Linked DNA regions of Nothobranchius furzeri. The protein of the gene in region 1 interacts with the protein of each later gene in a pairwise test. Links are inferred from orthologs where the notes say so. Each region holds a gene or a part of one and is shown on either strand. Other genes may lie near its edges.

Region 1 (7,877 bases):
GTCCAACTCTCACTGGGAACGAGCCCGACTTACTGCCGGTAATGCGGACCAAGCTCTGACACCGGTCATACAGGGACCTAACAGCCTGTATTAGAGGGCCTGGTACCCCATACTCCCGAAGGACCCCCACAGGGCCTCCCGAGGGACGCAGTCAAACGCCTTCTCCAAATCCACAAAACACATGTAGACTGGTTGGGCAAATTCCCACGCATCCTCCAGGACCCCCCTAAGGGTATAGAGCTGGTCCAGTGTTCCACGGCCAGAACGAAAACCACATTGCTCCTCCTGAATCTGAGGATCAACAATCCGACGGACCCTCCTCTCCAGAACCCCTGAATAGACCTTAGCAGGAAGGCTCAGGAGTGTGATCCTCCTGTAGTTGGAACACACCCTGCGGTCCCCATTTTTAAATAAGGGAACCACCACCCCAGTCTGCCAGTCCAGTGGAACTGCCCCCGATGTCCACACGATATCAGCCAACATAGCCCCACAACATCCAGAGCCTTAAGGAACTCGGAGCGGATCTCATCCACCCCTGGGGCCTTGCCACAGAGGAGCCTTTTAACCACCTCAGTGACCTCAGCACCAGAGATTTGAGAGCCCAACTCAAAGTCCCCAGACTCTGCTTCCTCGCTGGAAGACGTGTCGGTGGGATTGAGGAGGTCTTCGAAGTATTCTGCCCACTGATCCACAACGTCCTGAGTAGAGGTCAGCAGCACACCGTCCCCACTATAAATAGTGTTGGTAGTGCGCTGTTTTCAACCCCTGAGGCGCCGGATGGTGTACCAGAATCTCCTCGAAGCTGTACGGAAGTCTTGCTCCATGGTCTCACCGAACTCCTCCCACACCCGGGTTTTTGCCTTGGTGCCTGGTGTCCACCAGCGGGTTCGGGGGTTGCCACTACGACAGGCACCGACGATCCTGCGACCACAGCTCTAGTTGGCCGCCTTAACAATGGAAGCACGGAACAGGGTCCATTCAGACTCAAGGTCCCCCGCCTCCCCCGGAACATTTTGGAAGTTAGGAGGTGGGAATTGAAGCTCCTTCTGACAGGCGTTCCCAGCAGACCCTTGCAATACGTTTTGGCCTGCCTAGTCTTACCGGCATCCTCCCCCACCATCTGAGCCAACTCACCACCAGGTAGTGGTCAGTAGACAGCTCGGCCCCTCTCTTCACCCGAGTCAGATGAAACAACAACAAAGTCGATCATCGAGCTGCGGCCTAAGGTATCCTGTGCCAAGAGCACATATGGACACCTTTATGTCTGAACATGGTGTTCATTATGGACAATCCACAGAAGTCTAATAACAAAACACCACTCGAATTCAGATCAGGGGGGCTGTTCCTCCCAACCACACCTCTCCAGGTCTCACTGTCGTTGCCCACATGAGCGTTAAAGTCCCCCAGCAGAACGAGGGAGTCACCGGAAGGAGCACTCTCCAGCACCCCCTCCAAGGTCTCCAAAAAGGGTGGGTAGTCTAAACTGTAGTTTGGTGCATAAGCACAGACCACAGTCAGAACCCGTCCCCCCACACGTAGGCGGAGGGAGGCTACCCTCTCAGTCACCGGGGTAAACCCCAACGTACAGGCACCAAGATGGGGGCAACTAGTATGCCCACCCCTGCTCGGCGCCTCTCAGTGGGAGCAACTCCAGAGTGGTAGAGTGCCCAGCCCCTCTCAAGGAAACTGGTTCCAGAGCCAGAGCCATACGTTGAGGTGAGTCAGACTATAGCTAGTCGGAATCTCTCAACCTCACACACCAACTCAGGCTCCTTCCCCACCAGAGGTGACATTCCTTGTGCCAAGAGCCAGCTTCTGTAGCCGGGGATCAGACCGCCAAGGTCCCAGCCCTCGTCTGCCACCCGTCACACACTGCACCTGACCCCTTTGGCCCCTCCCACGAGTGGTGAGCCCATGGGAAGGGGAACCCACGTTTCCTCATCGGGCTGTGCCCGGCCGGGCTCCATGGGTGAAAACCCGGCCAGCAGGCGCTCGCCTACGTGGCCCACCTCTAGGCTTGGCTCCAGAGGGGGGCCCCAGTGACCCACGTCCGGGCGAGGGAACACGGTTTCCATTTATTTTATTCATCATAAGAGGTCTTTGGGCTGCTCTTTGTCCGATCCCTCACCTAGGACCTGTTTGCCATGGGTAACCCTACCAGAGGCATAAAGCCTCATTTAGCTCCTAGGATCATTGGGACACTCAAACCCCTCCACCACGGTAAGGTGGCAGCCCAGGGAGGAAGAGGGAACTACATTTATAAAATTTCAGTAGTTAGTACAAACACTTGCTGTAATTTTTTCTAAATAAAATGCATTTTTGTTAGTAGGTGAACTTGCTGTTTACTATTATTAAACCTTAAATTTTATATTAGCATAGGCCACATGTAAACCATAGTCTTACTAATTTACAAGACAGCTGTTCTGCAATGACAATAAATGTTTAATTGGTTTTTACCAGTTTTATCACTTTCTTGCTAGTATTTTTTTTTACATAGCAGAAAGAAGTTGGTGGCGGTAATGCACCATATCACCATTTGAAACCACCATTGAAAAGTCAAAGAAGAAGAATCAAAGTTATGACCGGAAGTTGTTTTTTTTTTCTAAGCCAGTCAGCTACACGCTGTTCAAGAAACCTGCAGCTCAGAAAAATTAGCCGTTTCCTCCTGGAGTCTTCAGGTAAACAAGTCTGTGTTAACCGTAGAGTCAGGGGAATGAGGTAACGTTTCGCGTCGCCATAGCTTTAGTAGTTTTCTGTTTTTTCTTTTATGGTACAAAGTAACACCGGTTGGGTGAAAGTAGTTCAAGACAATTTTAGCTGCGTGCGTAACTGCTAACGAGGGCTAGCCTGTGCCAGCTAATGTAATCTGGAAGCTAATGGAAACTGAAAATGGTCCGAAGTGAAAGTACACATTTGTTTTCCGTTTTGTACATAAACGCCATGTCTATGTATCCAGAAACGTGCTAATATTTTCGATTTTATGCGTGATTTTAAAGAACTTTATCGTCTGAACAGTTGGTGTATTTTATTGTCAAAGCCTTATTTAGACTCAGCGTTAGTTTCGTCTTTTATTCAAAGAGCTAAACATGAAAAATCAAGACACGGAAGAGTCTACCAGCCCGGGCAGCGAGGCTCCTCCACCTGCAGCTGGAGACACGGACGCTCCACTTCCACCTGCACCTGCTGAAGGCAGCAGCCCCAGAGAGATGGAGCCACAGGCTGGCCCTCCACCACAGGAACAGCAGGGGGAAAGCGGAGGTGAACTGCCTTTGGTTTGACTTTCTTACTCGTCCGTCACACTGTGTGAATTCTCAGTTTTAGAACAAATTAGATGAAACAGCACAAACCTAATTAATGGTTTGGTTGTCATCAGACTGAAGTGGAGAATCTTGTCAGTAATACCTGATGTCATCTGGTTTCAAGATTAACATACTAGAAGTCAAACTTTTATTGATGCAATCAAAGCTTTACTTGTACAATAAAATGGTCTTCATTCTTCACGTGTACTCAATCCATACATATCTAGATTATGTCATTTTTATTGTTATATGTCCTGATGCTGCCGACAAGTTATTTTATGCACTGATGTCATTAAACACAATCACACAGTTTAATAAACAAGAGTTTTTAAGGTTAAGAGATCCATAATAAATTAGTTTTGGGGTATTTTCTCATTACTGTAACGTTGTGTCAAGAACAAACTTACTTCAACATTTAAATAAAAGTAGGCCATCACGTCCTTGATGATATTGTGATAATTGTTTTAATGCCTCAAGTGCGATTCCTTTTAGAAGGCACATCATAAACAAATGAATCCCAACAGTTTTCCGCGTGACTGTGTGGGACACATACCATACCATACCATATTTATTTATTTATAAAGCACCATTTCAAAATAGCATGGCAGCTAACCAAAGTGCTGTACATAAAAAAAGCCAAATGCTTGACCAAGAACCACAATAAGAACAGGCAAAAAACATAAGAACAAAGCATAAATAGTCGGAGATAAAAATTCCTACTAAAAACCATAAAATAGAACAGTTAACAGCACTATAAAAATAAAATAATGCGACGAATAATAAAAACATTTGAAATGTCCCAAATAAACCGAAATAAAATACCAGATGGTGCGAGGTGCCAAAAGTGAGCAACTAAATCATAAAAATGGAATTAAAAACTCAAATCCGGTGCTAGATTGTCATGAAAAGTGTCACGGAGGCAAGGCAATGCTAAAGAAGTGCGTTTTCAGGGCCGACTTGAAACTGCTAACAGAGGGAGCCAGACGCACACGGAGGGGCAGGGAGTTCCAGAGTTTTGGGCTGAATAAGAGAAGGCACGCTCCCCCCGTGATTTGTACCAAACCTTCGGAACAACAAGCAGCAGATGATCTGCTGACCGAAGGGCACGGGTGGGAACATATGGGGTCAGCAGGTCCATCAGATAGGATGGGGATGGGCAGTACAAAGCCTTGTAAACATATAACAGGACCTTGAAGTTAATCCTAAATTAGACTGGGAGCCAGTGTAAATCTGCGAGGATGGGTGTGATGTGCATGCGTCTGTCGGTGTTGGTTAAAAATCTGGCCGCGGCATTTTGAACCTTCTGCAGTTTGCTTAAGGCTGAAGCATTAATCCCAATCAGGACAGAATTTGCGTAATCCAGACGTGAAGTAATGAAAGCATGAATGACTGACTCAAGATGCGGGCGTTTGAGGATTGACTTAAGACGAGTGATGCGGCGGAGTTGGAAAAAGCAGGACTTGACAGTAGCGTTGACTTGTGAAGACATTGAAAGGTCAGAGTCCAGTGTCACACCTAGGCTAGTGGCACCTGATTTGAGATTGAGTGGGAGAGTTGAGACATCTAAAGCACCATTCATGTTAGTGGGGCTAAAAAGTATGGCATCTGATTTGCTGTCATTTAACCGTAGGCAGTTTTGAGAAAGCCAGGATCTGACCTGGGAGAGGCATTCTGACATTATAGAAAATGAGTGCTGTTGGTTGATTTGAAGGTAGATCTGGCAATCATCTGCATAAAAGTGGTAGTTAACCCCGACGAGACTTGCTAAAATCTTACCAAGTGCTAGTATGTAAATTGAAAAGAGGAGAGGACCCAGGATGGAGCCCTGTGGTACTCCCCATGGAAGTGGGACATTGGGAGAAGAGCAGTCTCTAACATGAACACTAAAACACCGACCATTAAGGTACGACTTAAACCATTCCAGGGCAGTACCGGTCACACCCACCCAAAATTGGAGTCTGTGAAGTAGGATGCTGCGGTCAGGTCGAGTAAGAGTAACCGCACATGGGAGCCAGAGTCAGTCAGAATCAGGATGTCATTGAGTACCTGAATGTGTGCAGACTCTGTGCTGTAATTACGTCTAAAACCTGACTGGAATGGGTCAAGAAGCCCACTGTCATCTAGGTGAGAAGTAAGCTGCGTGAGAGCCAGTTTCTCAACTACTTTTGAGATGAATGGAAGTTTTGAGATTGGGCGATAACTGGCACAGTCAGACTGGTCAAGGCCTGGTTTCTTCAGTAGCGGCTGAACAACGGCATTTTTAAAAGCAGCTGGAAACACACCAGAGGAGAAGCTGGAATTGACACAACAGCAGGGGCCACCGCTGGAAGGACATCGCGCAGCAGTCTTGGAGGAAGGCTGTCCTCTGGAGAGCCTGAGGGCTTCATAGCCAAGATTAGATCAACCAGGGAAGAGGGTGTCACATGAGCAAAGCAAGAGAATGAGGGCGGACAGTGAGGTTCCACACAGGTAACCCAGCCTGAGTAAGAGAAGCTGTTCTAATTTCCTGGATTTTATGCAGGAAAAAGTTTTGAAACTCATTGCAAAGAGCCCCTGTAGAGGGACAAGAGTTGGGAGATTCTCTAAGCGATAGTACAGAGGTGAGGACACTGTACAGTTTCTTCTGGTCGTTTTTATGCCTAGTGATTATATTTGCAAAATATCTGTTTCTAGCTGTGCGGACAGCTTTCTGATAGCGGGTCAAAGGATCCTTGAATGACTGGTAGGAGATTTGCAGCTTGTCCTTCCGCCACCGGCGTTCGCAGACCCTACATTGGCGTCTTAGGGCACGAGTCTCCTCATTGAGCCAAGGGTCTGCCACAGTTTTTTATGCCTGGATCTTAGAGGAGCGACTGCATTTAAAACAGTTGAGCAGGTAGAGTTGAAAGAGGTCAGCAGCTCCTACACAGGTGGAATCAGGTTGGGAAGTGCATAGAGTCACAGCTAGGCTAGATGCTAGTAGATTGGTGGTGAAAAGGGGAAATTATTCTTGTGAGGTGTTGATTATGTTGCCTAGTGGATGGAGGTGTCAAGCCACAGATATTAAAAATAATAATAGAATGATCAGAGATACATGCAGAGTCAAAAGTCAGATCCGAGATACAGATCCCAAATGACAAAACCAAGTCTAAAACGTGCGATCCTGAATGGGTGGGTGACTGGACCTGTTGCTGGAGACCAAAACAATCTAAAATGTCTAAAAAGCCACCAACAAGAGGTTTGTCAGGGCAGCAAACATGTATATTAAAATCACCAAGCATAATCCCACGGTCATATTTTGGAAGAAAGTCTGTTAAAAGATCAGAAAATTCCGATAGAAAGTTGGAATTGTAGTTCGGTGGGCGACAGCAGAGAATAAACAGCAGCGGAGGACTGAAGTCCACCTCATAAGCCATAATAGTAAGTTTTTTAGTCACAAACTAAATCCCCTTTCATGCAACGTGTTCCAGGAAGTTTCTGAAATCCTATTTGAATGTTTTTCTGGTAGAAACTCTGCCTGGGTCAGCGTTAGCGCCCCCGGCTGCAGCAGCGCCCCTGTCCCAGCGCGACATGGCTGAGGAGCTGAGCCGGCAGCTGGAGGACATCCTCAGCACGTACTGCAGTGAAACCATTTCAGACGAAGCCAGTGCCTTGCTCAACGGTCAGTCTCACAGCCCAGTTTTCAACGGGCTGATGTGTGAGAAGGATGGAGACAACCCAAAGGCAGAAAAAGTCAACGGGGGTCACAGCGGTGCTGAGAAAGAGCAGAAGAAGAGTCAAGACAAGAAGAAAGTGAAGGGCCTGGGTGAGGAACTGAACTGTGTTAAATGTTCTGTAGGCCCGTTATTTTCCTTCACCTAACAGCTTCTGTTGTCTTGATCCAATCAGGCAAAGAGATCACCGTTCTCATGCAGACGTTAAACACGCTAAGCACGCCGGAGGAAAAGCTGGCAGGTCTCTGCAAGAAGTACGCCGACCTGGTGAGTACGCTTCTGTCCTGTGTGCGTCTCCGTGCTGCATTTCTGCTGTCAAGTGCAACTGACAGCAGGTTCACCACAACTTGTACCATCTTGTACGTGATCCTCGCTGTTCTAAAGGAAGAAGCCATGTTTGACCGCATGTGTAATGTTCTCAGCTGGAAGAGCATCGTAACTCTCAGAAACAGATGAGGGTGCTGCAGAAGAAGCAGAGTCAGCTGGTGCAGGAGAAGGACAACCTGAGGAACGAACACAGCAAAGCCATCTTGGCCCGCAGCAAACTGGAGAGTCTCTGCAGGGAACTGCAGAGACACAACCGCACCCTCAAGGTAGCGAGTGCTCCACCTCTGTGCAGGTGCAGCTGCTGCGTGTCATGTTTACGTTTTCATGTCTGCAGCAGCTTTTTAAGCATTCTTCCCTTTTTTAAGTTGGTTCTCACCTCTGCAGGAAGAAGGAGTCCAGAGAACGCGGCTGGAGGAGGAGAAACGGAAGGAGGTGACGTCTCATTTCCAGTCGACGCTGAACGACATCCAGGCTCAGATGGAACAGCACAACGAGAGGAATGCCAGCCTCCGCCAAGAAAACGCTGAGCTGGCAGAGAAACTCAAGAAGCTCTACGAGC
Region 2 (7,688 bases), on another chromosome or scaffold:
TGAGGCCTTGAATGCTGCAGGGTCCAAACAGTCAAACATCCATCAGTCATAGAGCAGAATAAAGCGGTTTCTATGACGACAGTGACTCCTCTCCGGACCGGATGCCATTTTCCAGGCCTCTCACAGCCCCACACATCTCCAAACTAAAGTGACTGACGCAGTTTCCAGCCCTGCTCTGGACAGACAGCTTGAACGGGTTTCCCTTTCTCTTAATCTTGTTACAGTGGGTGGATTGTTAAAGCTCAAGTGCACGAAAAGCCTGAAAACGTTTGGAGACAGGATATGTGTAATTGAAGGACAAATAAACCTCTTAAAACAGACAGGAATAGAACAAGGTAGAACACAGAGTGATTTAGTAATCCAGACAGTAAGAGGGTCACTTAATCCAGTTATTGTCTTTTTCCTCATTATTTATTAGAAATAACACAATGAATGTTTGGTTTTCATTGTTCAAATTGTACCGAGTTAGCTGAGGTCAGCAATAACAAGTATAGGTTATAGTATTGTACGTGTAACAATTACCTCAAGGTAGAATCAACCATCTGAAATCCCGTCTACGTGTATCTAGTAATTAAATCTATTTGTTAAGTGGGTCATGTTTATGAAGACAAAATGCTCTTTAATTGTGTATGTGGGGCTGCCAACTTTAGCAGAACTCTAGGCGGGGAATTTGATTTTATTGATTTATTTGTTTGTTAATTTTAAGGAGGCATGAAGTCGGTACTGAGGGGGCATTTTAAAAAGCATTAGGTTTGTCAGAGATGACAGAGTACATAACTCTGTGTGATGTGAGTTGGCTCATTTAGGACTTTTATTGGGGCGATGGTGGCAGAAGGGTTAAGAACCCACCCAGTGGGCTGCAGGTTCAAAGCCCACTCAGTATGTCGCTACCATCGTGTCCTTGGGCAAGACATTTCACCTTTCTTGCCTGCTGGCGTTGGTCAGAGGGACAGGTGGAGCCTGTGCTTGGCACCCTTTGCTTCATCAGTGATCCCCAGGGCAGCTGTGTGTGTGTGTGTGTGTGTGTGTGTGTGTGTGTGTGTGTGTGTGTGTGTGTGCGTGTGTGTGTGTGTGTGTGTGTGTGTGTGTGTGTGTGTGTGTGTGTGTGTGTGTGTGTGTGTGTCCTAAATTAAACACCAGGTGTGCACAAATGTTATCAAATCTATGTATTGTATTTTTTTTCATTAGTTCAATTTGAGTTTTTTATGGTTTAAACAGTAGGAATTGTAATCTTGCACGATAATAGTTAAAGCTTTTATTTTCTTAAATGTGTGTCATGTTAAATAATTGTATTGTTTAGAGCAGGGGTGTCAAATATGCGGCCCACGGGCCGCATCCGGCCCGCAAGCGGGTTAAATCTGGCCCGCGAGATGGTTGTGTAAACTTTATTTTCATACTTTACAATGTAGAGTGAAAATAAACTTATCTTTGTGAGCAAGTTTCCTCTGTAATGAGTATAAATAAAACAAAGCTGCGCTCAAGGCTCACACAAGAACTTGAATCACATCCTGAAGTTGGCCGCCACTCAGGATGGGACTTCTGATATTGATGTTCTGGTGAAAGCTAAACGATGTTAAGTAAAATGAGTCAAATATACTTTAAGTGCTGCATGAAACTGATCTAGCCATGTGATCTGTAAGCTCTTTGAATCACTAAGGAATGTATTTTTATTTGTTGATTTTTTTAATTTTTTCAAATTTTCAAGTACACTTCAGGTGTTGTACTTGTACTACACTGTCCTCAGGCTCCAGCCTTGTTTTATATTGATTGTATTAAAACAAAGAAAACAATCTGAAGTTTTTTTTTTATTTACCGGTCCGGCCCACTTGGGACTAGATTTCCCTCAATGTGGCCCCTGAGCTAAAATGAGTTTGACACCCCTGGTGTAGAGAGCTTTAGAGTTCTCTACAAATATATATATACACCTTGTTATCATGGGAAGTCGCACATTCAGCAGATCTGCTCCCTCCCTATGGAATACATTACCAGCTGATTTCAGAAATACCGCTACACTTCAAGGCCAAACTCAAAACTCACCTGTTCAAGATTGCATATTCCCCTATCTGTATTTTATCTGTTTTATCATGGTTTTAAATTGACTAGTTTTTATTGTCCTTGTGCTTGTTGGAATGTTTTATTCTTTTTATTGTACAATGACCTTGAGTTTTTTGAAAAGCACTTCAAAGAAAATGTATTATTATTATTATTATATTGAAGAAACGTTTTGTTGTATTTTACATGTGTAAATAATGACATCATAATACATATTTTTTCTTCCACAAAACAATGTAACTATTAGAAATGTTCATTGTTACCATGAGCTACTTTAACTGCGGTCAGTATGCAGTATGTATTAAAATGTAGCCAATATAAACCCTGTAAAGCAATATATAATGAAATTTCAAAATAATTGTAAAATATATATTTTTTTATTTTAAATCTTCAAATAAATATTTATGTTAACTGCAGCTTCTGTGGAGATCATCCGGAAACTGTTGCTCACGGCTCCAACATATTAGCAAGTTTTAAAACGACTGCGTAAACTCTTTTGCCCTGAACAAAAGTGTTTTACGTTTTATATGATCGTTTACTATTATTATAATGTTACATTAACAGAAATGCATGCACATTTTTGTCATGAATTTACTTAGCATACGCACTTTGAAGTCATTTTTATTATCTATTTATTATAAAGATTTGTTATGGCCCTTTAAATTCTACTTCCGGTACGGCTTCGTAATCCTTCCGACAACTACTTTAATTATTCTTTGTTCCGACCTCAGTGAAGCTAACATGGCAGCGGAGGGAGACGTCGACTTGGACCTCGAAGCCGAGGAAAACTGCACTGGAAAGCCGGTTGAAAAGCCTCGGAAACATGACAGCGGAGCTGCGGATTTGGAGAGAGTCACGGACTACGCGGAGGAGAAGGAAATCTCCAGCTCTGATTTAGAAACGGTGAGACCTGTGGCTAACGGCTCCCCCGGAAACATGCGGCCGCTGATGCGTTCACTGTCAAGAGTTAAAGACCTAAATAATTACAAATAACGGTTTGTTTCCTGTATAAATGAACATTTTTGTCATTTTATGTTTTCTCTGTGTTCTGATTGAACACAGAAAAAACATTTTATTTCATTATTTTATATTTATTTCTATGATAATTTGAAGTAGAAGTTTGTGTATATGGGGTAGGCATAAAAAGCTAGAGACAGCAGGCGAAGCTTCATCTTCAGCTTTTGGTTATTCTACTTGCAATCTTTGTATTATTGTGTTTTTCCGTTTCCTAACTTTAAAATAACCAAATAAATAAACTTGGTAGAACAGATTGATACTAATTGATTTAGGTAGCTATCTTGAGAGTTAGCTAAACACTCATCTGAGTGGAAGAGGGGTAAAATTAATTCAAATTTCATCCAGTATGTGCCCAAGCATGAAACTATAACTCAAACTGTTCAAAACATCAAGTCAAACATGTTTAAGGCAACTATTTGACAATATTTTAGGCAATGCTGACATATAAGGTTCAGAATAACTCATTGGAAAAAAATATTTTGAATTGTTAAAACTGTAGTTTAGCTGAGAGCTGACACTATTGACTGATCACAAGTGGAAAGTGTTTGCATTGGAGCATACAGGTCAGATGTGTGTTAACACACGGTCTAGGAAGAAAAAGCACTAAAATGATGCCCCAGCAGAAGTAAATGCTGCTAGTCATCATGACATGACATGATGATCAACTATCCATCATTCTACAGAAAACCATCAAAGATAAGGTTGTAAAGGTAACAGGTCCCAGAGGGAAGGCCAGACTTCTCTTTCCCCAACTGATCTTCAGCTTGTCCTGTGGCCTAGTTCAGGAGAAAACCTCTATAAAAATAATGCATCACAGCTTAGCTTAGTGAAGTTTCATCTGAACAAACGGCGTTCTGGAACAATGTTCTTTAGACAGATGAAACCCAAGTGGATTTATTTACCCTTAACTCACAGCAGCCTGTGTGGAAGGAAACACTGTTGGCATGAAGATGAAGGGCTAATGATATTTTGAAATGTACATTGTGTGTACCTTTTTTTTTTTCCTGATTTAATAAAGTCTTGGAAACAAAATGATATTTATTTATGTAGGCAGCAAATGTTTGTACCATCAGTGCTGTTTTAAACAAATACAGGAAATGGAACTAAAATGAGGTTTTGTATGTTTCTCAAAAGGTAATTACAAAACTTATGACAATGTTTTACACATTTTTGCAGGCCATGTCTGTGATCGGAGACCGAAGGTCACGAGAACAGAAAGCCAAACAGGAGAGGTAAGATGAGTTCAAGACCTCTGACTCTGTTAGGTTTAGAAAAGTATTTTCCAAACTAAACGGTAAATGAGACTGAGAACATGTTATTTTGCTGCTTTTCCAGAGAGAAGGAGCTGGCGAAGGTCACCATTAAGAAAGAAGATGTGGAGCTGATTGTAAGTTTTTGCTGTTTTTAAATGTTGTACAGAATAATATTAAACATCGATCCACACATGATACTGAAACAAGATGAATGTAATGGTTAGTGCTTCAGAGTATTTAAGCTTGTTCCATGGGTATGTTCCATGTGTTTTTTAAAGGCTTACGAGTTTGATATTTTAGGTGACTTCTGATTTAAGCTGGTTCAAACCTTTAATTTGTTCTGATCTCTGTGCAGATGTGTGAAATGGAAATCTCGCGCACCGTGGCAGAGCGCAGCCTGAGGGAACACATGGGGAACGTGGTGGAGGCTCTGGTGGCTCTGACCAACTGAACACACATTAACACACCGGACTGTTTTCCTCAATGAGCAGTTTTAACTGTTGTTTCAATCAACTCCATCGTTTTTGTATTTTAGTTTTAAATAAAGGTTCGTTGTTTATTTGTGTCCGTGTGTAAAATAACTGAAAACATCTTTAATTGAAACATCACGGTTTCATACAAAATGGGCGAGGAACCCACAAACTGATCATCACAATAAGGTTATTTACAGAGTTCCACACAAGCTGCAGGTTTCAGCTGGCTGTCTACTTTTGTCCAGGAAATGTTTCAGCTGCAACCTTAAATTTCTAAACAGGTTTGGATCCTTTTGGTTAAAACATCAAAGCAGAATCATTTTGTTGCTTTTTCCCCAACAAAGTCCACAAGAACACAAGTAGCATCCTCAGTCTCTTCACTGGAAAGAGGCGTCTTATGCCTTCCTCTTCTTCACCGTGGGTCGGTCAAACACGTCCCTCACGCCTGCTGCCTTCTGCTTAAAGAACTTGCTGTTCTGAGTGCTCTCCTGGGCCCACGCAGAGTCGAATGACGTGGTGTCCTGGTCCACCAGGTGGGTGTACTTTGTGCGTCCTGACCGACCAAAGTTTTTGACCTAATGGGAAGAAAATAAGTTACAATTGTGGGGATGTCACCTTAATGTGCACAAAAAGTGTCATTTCTACCACGTTCACACCAGTGACACACACAAAGGCTACATGTACAGCGGGACTGAAGCACATTTAGATGACAAGCTAGTTCAAAGGTCATGAGAAATTCAATCTTTTTTCCAAAGATGAACTTTCAAACCCCACCTGTGGTCCAAAAAAACAGCAGGGATGCATGACATATCGGCATCAATATCTATGTTTTACATATCGGTATCGGTCTGATAAGGACAACTGGACCGATATTAACTGAATATATATAAAAAGAAAGACGTCCAAAATTTCTGCTTACATAACTTTAAGTCTCCATAAAATCTGCTGACTTCAGAAGCATAAATGTCAGCCTGTATATGTCGCATCGACAAATATCGATTATCAGCCATAACAATATCGACATCAGCCCAAAGTTTCATTTCGTTGCACCCCAAGACGAAAGGGTCTCACCTGCATGACTTTGGGTAGGATGGTTTTGTTGAAGTGATCCTCCAGTGTAGGAGCGCTGAAGTCTCTCTTGTAAACATCCTCCTCCTCATCCTAACACACAAAAACCACACAATAAATCCCTACACGTATAACCTGTTGGTGACCCATCACAAACGATCACCTCCTTCAGAATCTGGTGGGATTTCCTGTCATTTACAGACATCTAAATAATAAAGGTGTTATAAGAAAGGGTACGCCGTTTTTATCACACAATAATTGTCAAAGAAAAGACACTGCAGCTGTAAATGAAGATTTTAGGAAAATCTCTTGGTTGTCTTAAAAATTTGCTTTTTTATGAATCCTGGTGACAATCCCGTGAAAAGGACTCTTGTGTCTGCTGGGACTCACCATGAAGAAGGCTCCTCTGTGGTAGTATTTCTGCAAGAACTTGTATTTGCCTTTGGAGGCTTTGTTGGTGACGACTTTGCCGCTGTTGCGTAGCTCCGCCCTGCGTTCCTCTTCCGTCATATTGTGGAATCTGTCAATTTCACCCTTCTCTCTCTCCATTCTGACAACAAAACACCACAAATGACCGTCCTGAAGAGAACTGCATCACTCTTTCACCATAAATCCTTTGGAATCCTGCAGTTTACTTACGCTTCCCGGGCCTCTCGGTCTCTCTTGATGCGTTTCAGCTCTCGGACCTTCCAGGCTTCATATTCCTCCTCTTCATTCTCCCCGTCAGTGTCCAGAGCTTCCAGTGCAGCCAGCGAGCGCCGGTTCTCTTCAAACTCCTTCTTAGCCTCCTCCTCAACAATCTTGAGGGTGTAGCGCCGCCGATCCTCTGCCTGCCTCTTGGCCTCGGCCTCCAGCTCTCGCTGCTTCAGCTCCTCGGCTTCGCGCTCTGCCACAGTGACTCTGTCCTTTCTGCAGTGCAAAAAAAAAACATTTGAGCTAGTGTTCTGAATCTGGAATTTTTATTGAAACATTTTTAGTTTAGTTCTCACTTGCGAATAAAAACAGGCTTAAGTCTCGGCTCTGCTTCATCCTCACTGTCTGTGTACTCCTCATATTCTGACTCCGACTCAGACTCCTCTCCTGACTTCCCCTCCTCCTCCACCTCCATCACTTCCATCTCTTCATTTTTCCTCTCCATTGCACGCTGGCGCATCATTGCTCGCCTCCTCTCAATTTCCTGGTCACAAGCACGATGAGCAAATTAATAATTTGTTCAAAATGCAACAAAAAAGTTAAAAGGATTTTATTTTTTTGGTGCACAATTGCTACCTCATCATCCACTTCTTCCTCCTCTTCCTCCTCCTCCTCCTCTTCATCGTCGCTGCTCTCCTGATGCTCAGGGTGCCATGTGCCTTCATCAGAGTCCTCACTGCTCTCAGCAACAACTTCAGGCTCTACGATCTGTCTGTGTCTTGCGAGCCTGAGCACAAACAAACGGGAAACATTTTGACTCAAAATGTTGACAGAATTTGAGTTTAATCAGAAAAACTGAGTGATACCTCTCCTCCACGTCCTCAGAAGTTCGATTGAGCAAACGTTTGAGACGTGGGTCATTCACATCTTCTTCCTGCTGCTCTACCTCCAGCTCCATTTCCACTCCCTTTTTAGCAAACTTGAATTCCTCCTCCTCTTCATCTGACGACTCCATGGGGGCATAGTCTGGACGTTTACCTGACACATACCTCTTCACCTTCACCTTCTCCATGGAGATCTCACCTACATTGTGTACAGAAAAGGGCATGATTATATACACTTCCTCAAGCTTAGTACAAGAGTATTTAAACAGGAAAAAACACTCAACCATAAAAAACGTAAAACAATATGT
Region 3 (7,688 bases), on another chromosome or scaffold:
AGAATAAAGTATTTTTGTCTTTATTCTGCGTACATAGTGAGGCCTGGTGTCCAGAACTCCCAGCTTCTGAGGATCGGTGTTTCTGATGCTCTGGATGTTCATCTCCAGAATGAGTTCAAACCTCGGCCACAGCAGCTCCAGTACAGCATCCCAGTATCTGACACACACACACACACACACACACACACACACACACACACACACACACACACACACACACACACACACACACACACACACACACACACACACACACACACACACACACACACACACACACACAGATAACCAATCAGGAGGCTCCTGCTACAGAAGCAATGATCTACAGCTATGAATGAGTCTTTTTTACAATATGTACTCAATTTAGCAGTTTTTCCGTCACTGGAGCTCAGCTGATGAGTCTGGATTCCTCTTTCTTTATCAGTCCTGTTGCTGAAGGTTCAAATACTTTCAATTTAAAATCGTTTGTGATCAAGTTGGAAATTAAAATCACAAAAACAGCTGTAAGAGGTGGATTTCAGTGAACTAGACCAAATTCTTGCTTTGCAAAGTTTGGTCTAGGCATGCTCCATTGGAACCTCCGCAGCTCCTACCAGGACTCTGGCTGGCCAATCACAGCTCTCCAGAGGGGTTTCAAACACACAAAGAGCTGTGATTGGTCCATAATGGTGGGCCAATCATAGTGCTCTATTTGCTTAGTGAACAAATCACAGAGCTTTATCTGCTTTGTGGGCCAATCAGGGCACTCTCTGTGCCTGGTGGGTGGGATGATGCAACAGAGTGAAACGAGTATGTCACATTCATTGTCCAGTGGAATGTGGAGATCATTTGAAAGACAACGGTAGAACCCGCCCCACAACCGAGAGCCGTCAATGGAGCATGGCCAGACTAAATAATACATTTATTTAGTCTGGCTTGCCAGGCTAGTAAATGTTGTCATTCCAACACTTATGTGAAGAAAAACAAAGTTCCTGTCTATCTGTGCTCGTCTAATAATGTCTTGGTTTGTCGTCTTTCATGAGACACTGACTTGTCCAGAGCAGGTATGGTCCTCTTCGTGGTGATGGCTCTGAAGCGGAGGATGATGTGGATGCAGAGGAAGATGGCGATGCTGTCGTAGCAGTCGGACACGTAGGTGGACATGCTTTTCTGTAGAGACGGAGACACGTGGACGGGATGGGACAGAGGTTATGTTTGAGGTCACTCGCGTGCTTAAAAATGATGCTCAAAGGGAAGCGTTCCCACCAGGAACATTCCGAGCGTTTTTCCCATGATGCTGTTGAAGAGATCGAAGGCGGAGTTTCCGATCACCATGAAGAAGTCGGACAGGAAGAGGAATTCTCTGCAGCCGTTGTCCAGCAAAGCGTAATGCTGGCTACGAAACAGTGTCTCGTAGGGATACTGGAACACACACGATTACACAACTAATGATTACAATCCAGTTAGAGTTACAGATATTTAGATCAGGGAAGGAAATTTAATGTGTTAATTACGATTATTTCATTTGGAAAAAATAAATAAATAAATAAATAAAGCGTTTAAATTTTACCCTTTGAGCCCGAGCGTCCCCCAATTGGGGACCAGAAAGTATTCAAAAAAATTACTTGGGCGCAAACTGTCTTGAATGATTAAAATGTGATTAATCAAGATTAATTAGATAAAAAAAATTAATCGAGTCCCATCACTAATTTATATTTCTTTCTTCTTACTCTTTAACTCATTCGCTGCCAGCGTTTCTCACCGTTTTTACAGTTTTTTTTAAGAGTCACAAAACGTTGCGTGCTAGGATGATGTCGACGCCAAAACAACCAAAACAAAGCGGAGACTCACCTCTTACATCAGAAAGAATCCGCGTGTTTCGAGCGTTATCCATTCTTTCATAATCCGTTGTCGAATTGTGATCGGCAGAAGCTTTTATGGTTCGCGCCTCACTTTTTGTTACAGCAGCGACCCAAAACGATCTCCTAACACATGGACTTTCTGCTTCCTGATCATGTGACGTGTGACGCATGCGGACGAAGATCGGCTTTAGAGCCGAGATGTTTGTTCTCACGGTGCGGGGGCTCGATCCGATGCCCGCACAGTAAAAAAATGCAAATGACGACTTCAGTCGTCATTGGCAGTGAATGAGTTAATCACACCAGACCATCAAATCGATCTCTAACCGAGACTCTGGGCATTTTATTTAAACTTTTTTAAACGTGTGCACGTCTTACTCTGCTGTCTCCCCTCTGAGCCGTGTGCGGAACCAGGATGGGCCCCTCCAGCTCTGCAGGACTCAGTATGGCCCCCCTCTGGCCCAACGTGAAGATGGTATTCCTGCTCTTCAAAGACGGTTTGGAGAAGAAACCTGGAGCTGAGAGTCAAGGAGCCTCAAACTCTCAGATGTCGGTAGGTCACATGACCTGACTGCTCTCCTGTCTCGCTGGATGCTGTTTTTTATTCATTTACATTTTTGTTTTGTTTAACATAAACAAGTGACATCATCAGGTCATGGATGAAGAGGCAAACAGGAGCTTTAAAGGATATCTTTCTTGGCGGTGTCCTCCACCCCCATCAGGTCATCTTTATCGGCTACCTCCTCATACTGCAGCAGGACAAAGAACATCGGGTCACATAAAACACAAAATACTTTCAACTAAACGGAAAATGTGAATACTAAACCACCGACCTGAACTTTGAGAAGTCTGCTGCTGTAGGACTTAAAGTAACTGTAGTAAATCTTGCTCATGGTGTCTACATACTCATCTCTGATCTCCTTAGCAACGGTTCTCTCATTGGCCAAAAGGAACTGATAAAAAAATCTACAACAGAACAAAAACAGGCAATAATGTAATTCTGGTTGAATCTTTTTTTAATTTCACAAATTAGAAATATAAAAACGTGTTCACAGTTCCTTCCAAATTCCAAAGGTTAGGCTGGAATTAGAAACTTTTAATGGATTTAATCCACGTCAAACTGCGTCAGGAACTAAACGGTCCACAAAACGTTCCATTTACCGAAGGCTCACCTGTATTTTAGCAAAGTGTTTTGTGGGATCTGATAGTTGGTCATCGGTTTTCTAAAGGAGTAGATCTTCTGTAGAATAAACTCTCTGATCTTTGACACTGCCTAAGGAAGGAAAAGTGATTCTAGTGTCATTTAAACTCAGAACATGAACTTCTGTGACCCTTCAGTGATTATTATTATTATTATTATTGTTAATTCCAACAGCGGTTTCTGTGATTCACCTTGACTTTGAGGCGATCAACGATGTCCTGGATGTCGGAGCAGGCCAGCGTCTCCCTGAAGCTCAGCTCTTTTGCAAAGTTGATTTTGGAGTTAAGCTCGTGAAGCTGCTCAAGGAACTCCTGCTCCGTCACCGGGCTTTCCAGGATGGTGCTGGAACGATCCAAAAAGCTTCAGCAACAAGACATCAACACGTGACATTTCCTACAGCATTGTTACAAATAATCAGAAGCTGTTAAACGTACGAGATCATGGCTCCAGGCACCACCAGTTCATCCACCAGCTGGCTCAGGTGGCTGCGAACGGCCTGCCTGTTCTTCAGACGGACATTCATGCTGACAGACTGCTGCTGCAGGGTCTGGATCTCGCTGCTGATGGAGGACAGGTCGCTCTGGAAGCCGCTCAGCATCCCCTCCATACGCTGAAAGGGGGGAAAAAAACATTACTTACCCCGATTTAGGTTTTTCTGGACAGTGGAGCCAAACGTTTCTGAGGGTAAAGTATGAAGAAATCCTGCCTCACCTCTAAAATAGAGTCACAGGCTGTAATCTGGTTGTGCAGAGAAGCAATGTTCTGACTCTCCTTAATGTCTACGAGGCGAAGGTTCAGGGAAACCACATAGAATGAGTTCATTTAGGTTTCTGGCTGCAGAAAATAGCATGCAAGTATGACTGACTTCCATCAAATTATTTCTTTAAAACAACTTTTTAACCTCAGAATGTAAACAAACATTTGAGTATGACTTTGAATATGTTGGATAAAATAAAAACTGCATGTGAAGAGGGACCCTGCCACTCAGACACATACATAAAGAAAAAGCAGGAAGCTCTGTGAGGACAGATAAAATATCAAGACATGTAAATTATGAGCTGTGAAGGATACAGTCTTTGATTGATGCCTGTTCAATCTTCCGCAGCTCCACCTCCACTTGCTTGGAATACTGACGGAGGTCAACACCCTAGAAATGAACAGAAGAGGACGCATATTAGTAGTATATCATAGGAAATGTGACAGCAAATCGTTCATGGATTGGTAGTGAAGTACAATTAACTGACATGACAGGACTTACCGTTTTGAGTGCCTCCTTCACAAGATCATCTTCCAGGTTGGCCTGAATATGAACTATAAAAGAATAAAAATGAAAAAATAAAATAAAATAAAAAAGAATATTGCAGAAACCCAAGGCTAGATGGGAAGTAGCAGACATGAAAGTTCTAAAACAGATGTGTATGAGTAAAGCTTGAGTGCAACTGCGCCCTTACTGTCCACTTCATCTAAGATGAACTCATCGGTGGTGATGTCCAGCTCTCCCAGGCTCAGGTTGGTGATGTCTCCATCGGTCTTCTGCAAAAAGAAACAAACAGAATCACACATATAATAAAAATAAATTCAAATACTTGAGAGGGGACTCCAACTTCTATTTATTTTATTACATAAGATTTTTTGTTTTGCACAACAATCTGATTGAAAAAAACTGGAAACGAGAAAATATACAAGATATTCATGAACATAGCTCATAATAAAGTTGCTTTTCCTGTTTCTTATAAATATAACTTTAATTTTTATCAAAATGCGACAGTTTCATACAATTAATGGGTACTGTATTTCCTGGTTAAGACCTTACACATACAAACTTGACAAACTTTAGATTTATAGCAAATTACAGGTGAAGATTGATAAAGAAATTAATAACATTTGAGATAAGGGACATGGTTCATGACGATTCATCAAATGATTAGTTGTCAACAGACTTTAACGAGCTGAATACGTTGTTTCTTCAAATCAGACCCGCACTACTAATAATAATGAAATGTCACCTCGTCTTGTAGGTACGCCATGACATTTTGTGTTGAGTTTCCTCCTGTATTTACATCAGAACCAGCTCCAACAAAACCCAAAACAGCATCCGCCATGGCTGCGAAATTTATGCTAACGTAAGCACAACAAACGAAAGTTCCGCTTACTGAAGCTCGAAATGTTTATTCTGTTTTGAAATAAAAAAACGTGATCTCAAATTTCAGGTCGCTTGATATAAATACGTACAATAACGATATCAAACATTTTTTTAGCATCACGTATTTTAGCAATTTATGTACTTGTTTAGCAAACCCAGTTGCTTATCGGACATTTTTAAATGAAGGATCATTTTCCGGCAAAAACTGATCCAAAATCTCGCGAGAAACAAGCGCCTTCCTCTTTGCACGGAACCTACTTCCAAGATGGTCAGTATGGTATATCTTAAACCAGAGTAGATTTGAAATCCACGTTCATCCTTCGTTGTGCTTGTTTGTTCATTGTTTATAAACACGGTATAATTTATATGCAGCTTGTATGGGTTGGTTCTAGTGATATGGCTGATGTTATGTCTGTTGATTTTGACTTATTTCAACGTAACTTGCCATCAATGCTAGCAGACAGTGGGGACCGGTAGAAGCGGAGTAGCGCAAGTTGATTTTTGTTTAACATAATTATACGTATAATGGAGCAGTTAAAGCTCAAATAAGCTATGTTATTTTCCCCTATGTTCTGTAATCCTTATACGTTTTAGGGATTTTTCAAAGCTACTAGCGCTTAGCTAGCCATACTAATGAGCCTCAAAGGAGCCAAAAGCATGACAGTTGCAGTAGACTAGTTATTTTCCTTGAGCAGCTTTGTTAAACATACTGAGTTCGTTGCCTGTTTGTAAAGATGAGTGTATTAATGGTTTATTTTAGTTATTTTAGTGGAGTACTGGGTCTGTACAGAATGTTAAAACTGTTTTTGATCGTTGTTGTTTTACTTGTGCTGTTTTCAGTCTCTGGTCATCCCTGAGAAGTTCCAGCACATTCTTCGTGTTCTCAACACGAACATTGATGGTAGGAGGAAGATTGCCTTCGCCATCACTGCCATCAAGGTATGTTATGTCTCGTAATACCACTTAAATTTCTTGTTAATAGACTCAATGTTTGTGTTGCCTGATTTTTACCATTGAGACTGGATTCTGTCTGGTTTAAGGGTGTTGGCAGACGTTATGCCCATGTAGTCCTGAGGAAGGCCGACATTGACCTCAACAAAAGGGCTGGAGAGCTGACTGAGGAGGAGGTGAGAACAGAAAACCTGCACCGTTTCTGCAATTCTAAAACCGTGGTGCATTTAAAAAATTGCTTCCAGGAGAGCAAGTTTTTAGATGGTGGAGGGGAAATCGGCTGTGGTGGTGCTGTGAAGGTTTGAGAGATCAGAAGTAGTTTTCGTCACAAACAGCTGGGTAGTTTGCAGTCGTTTAAAGTAAAAGTTGTTACTGCTGCTGTTGTCGGTGCCGTTTAGGTGTCTTGACTAGAGGAGAGTTTGTGTACAACCATGTTTGTGTTCCAGCATGAAGATTGGATGTTCACAGGAAACCTCTGCTAAAGCATTGAGATAAACTGATTTCTGAAAAAAAAAATGGTCTAAATATGTACACCTTTTTGTGTATTTTATTTATTTTTTTGTTTTACTTGTGAAATCGGCTCTGAACTTGCTCAAAACCGAACCAGTGGGTTCCTGGTAGTTTAAAAAGGAGAGGGATGACTACATTGTTAATTTCAATGTTTGATTGTTAGTAAGTGAACTTTGCAGTGATTTTATCAACCAACAAATCCAAATATGCAGGATTTCTAACAACTTTTAACTTGGTATCTTTCTCTTTAAAATGTTGTTGGCTTCAGAACAAAAACTGCATGATTTTGTAACTACCTAACTAACTTAACTCATTCACTGCCAGCCGCCAGCCGTTTCCAGATCAGTAAAGCCTTTCGCTGCCAGTGTTATTCAGCGTTTTATACTGTATTTTAAGATTCGCTGAACGTTGCGCTCCATGATGTCAACTCCAAAACTGATAAAACAAAGAGAAGACTCACCTCTTGCATCGGGAAGAATCCGTGCGTTTTGAGCATAATCCGTTGTCAAATTGTGATCGGCAGAAGCTTTTCTGGTTCGCGCCTCACTTCTTTTTTTCCAGCAGCGGCCCAAAACGATCTCCTAACACACGGGTTTTCTGCTTCCTGATTACATATGACGTACGCAGATGATCGGCTTTAGAGCTGGGGTGTTTGTTCTCACGGTGTGGGGGCTCGTTCAGACGCAAAAACAAGTAAACATGCAAGTGACGACATTAGTTGTCATTGGCAGTGAATGAGTTAATTGGAAAGATAATTGTGTTGGTTAGTAGCTGAACCTGATGTTTTACCAGACAAAATAACTAAACTGACTGGTTTTAATTCCCAGGTGGAGCGGGTGGTGACCATCATGCAGAACCCTCGCCAGTACAAAATCCCAGACTGGTTCCTGAACAGGCAGAAGGACGTCAAGGATGGCAAATACAGCCAGGCAAGTGACAGCAGTCTGAGTCAGTTTGGCTCTAAATCGTTAAACCATTATTTTAAACTGTGTTAACTGTTCTTAAAAATTTTTTTCACATAAACTAACAGCAAATGTTGGATTTG

Evidence for each region.
Region 2: the proteins of txlna (region 1) and hypk interact in binary tests that used the Homo sapiens proteins (3 or more experiments, as listed by UniProt). The two-hybrid records come from large-scale screens. The link is inferred for Nothobranchius furzeri from reciprocal best matches to the Homo sapiens genes TXLNA and HYPK.
Region 3: the proteins of txlna (region 1) and vps52 interact in binary tests that used the Homo sapiens proteins (3 or more experiments, as listed by UniProt). The two-hybrid records come from large-scale screens. The link is inferred for Nothobranchius furzeri from reciprocal best matches to the Homo sapiens genes TXLNA and VPS52.

Annotation. Positions count from the first base shown.
Region 1 is NC_091751.1:3,229,586-3,237,462, forward strand, and holds the start of txlna (alpha-taxilin), read left to right. Parts: upstream 1-2,565; 5' UTR 2,566-2,578; coding exon 2,579-2,678; intron 2,679-3,078; coding exon 3,079-3,258; intron 3,259-6,786; coding exon 6,787-7,083; intron 7,084-7,166; coding exon 7,167-7,258; intron 7,259-7,413; coding exon 7,414-7,584; intron 7,585-7,702; coding exon 7,703-7,877. UniProt on the Homo sapiens protein: May be involved in intracellular vesicle traffic and potentially in calcium-dependent exocytosis in neuroendocrine cells.
Region 2 is NC_091749.1:30,006,186-30,013,873, reverse strand, and holds hypk (huntingtin-interacting protein K), read left to right. Parts: upstream 1-2,748; 5' UTR 2,749-2,793; coding exon 2,794-2,955; intron 2,956-4,245; coding exon 4,246-4,301; intron 4,302-4,404; coding exon 4,405-4,456; intron 4,457-4,677; coding exon 4,678-4,773; 3' UTR 4,774-4,881; downstream 4,882-7,688. Other genes in the region: mfap1 (microfibrillar-associated protein 1), read right to left, coding at 5,191-5,370, 5,867-5,956, 6,254-6,413, 6,503-6,772, 6,853-7,040, 7,133-7,283, 7,363-7,579. UniProt on the Homo sapiens protein: Component of several N-terminal acetyltransferase complexes. Inhibits the N-terminal acetylation activity of the N-terminal acetyltransferase NAA10-NAA15 complex (also called the NatA complex).
Region 3 is NC_091759.1:11,201,190-11,208,877, reverse strand, and holds the start of vps52 (vacuolar protein sorting-associated protein 52 homolog), read right to left. Parts: upstream 5,219-7,688; 5' UTR 5,142-5,218; coding exon 5,046-5,141; intron 4,573-5,045; coding exon 4,491-4,572; intron 4,351-4,490; coding exon 4,298-4,350; intron 4,187-4,297; coding exon 4,111-4,186; intron 3,819-4,110; coding exon 3,751-3,818; intron 3,650-3,750; coding exon 3,474-3,649; intron 3,382-3,473; coding exon 3,231-3,381; intron 3,112-3,230; coding exon 3,011-3,111; intron 2,805-3,010; coding exon 2,672-2,804; intron 2,588-2,671; coding exon 2,532-2,587; intron 2,353-2,531; coding exon 2,217-2,352; intron 1,402-2,216; coding exon 1,246-1,401; intron 1,150-1,245; coding exon 1,031-1,149; intron 280-1,030; exon of another isoform or gene 158-279; coding exon 34-157; intron 1-33. Other genes in the region: rps18 (small ribosomal subunit protein uS13), read left to right, coding at 5,448-5,450, 6,023-6,121, 6,223-6,309, 7,471-7,572. UniProt on the Homo sapiens protein: Acts as a component of the GARP complex that is involved in retrograde transport from early and late endosomes to the trans-Golgi network (TGN).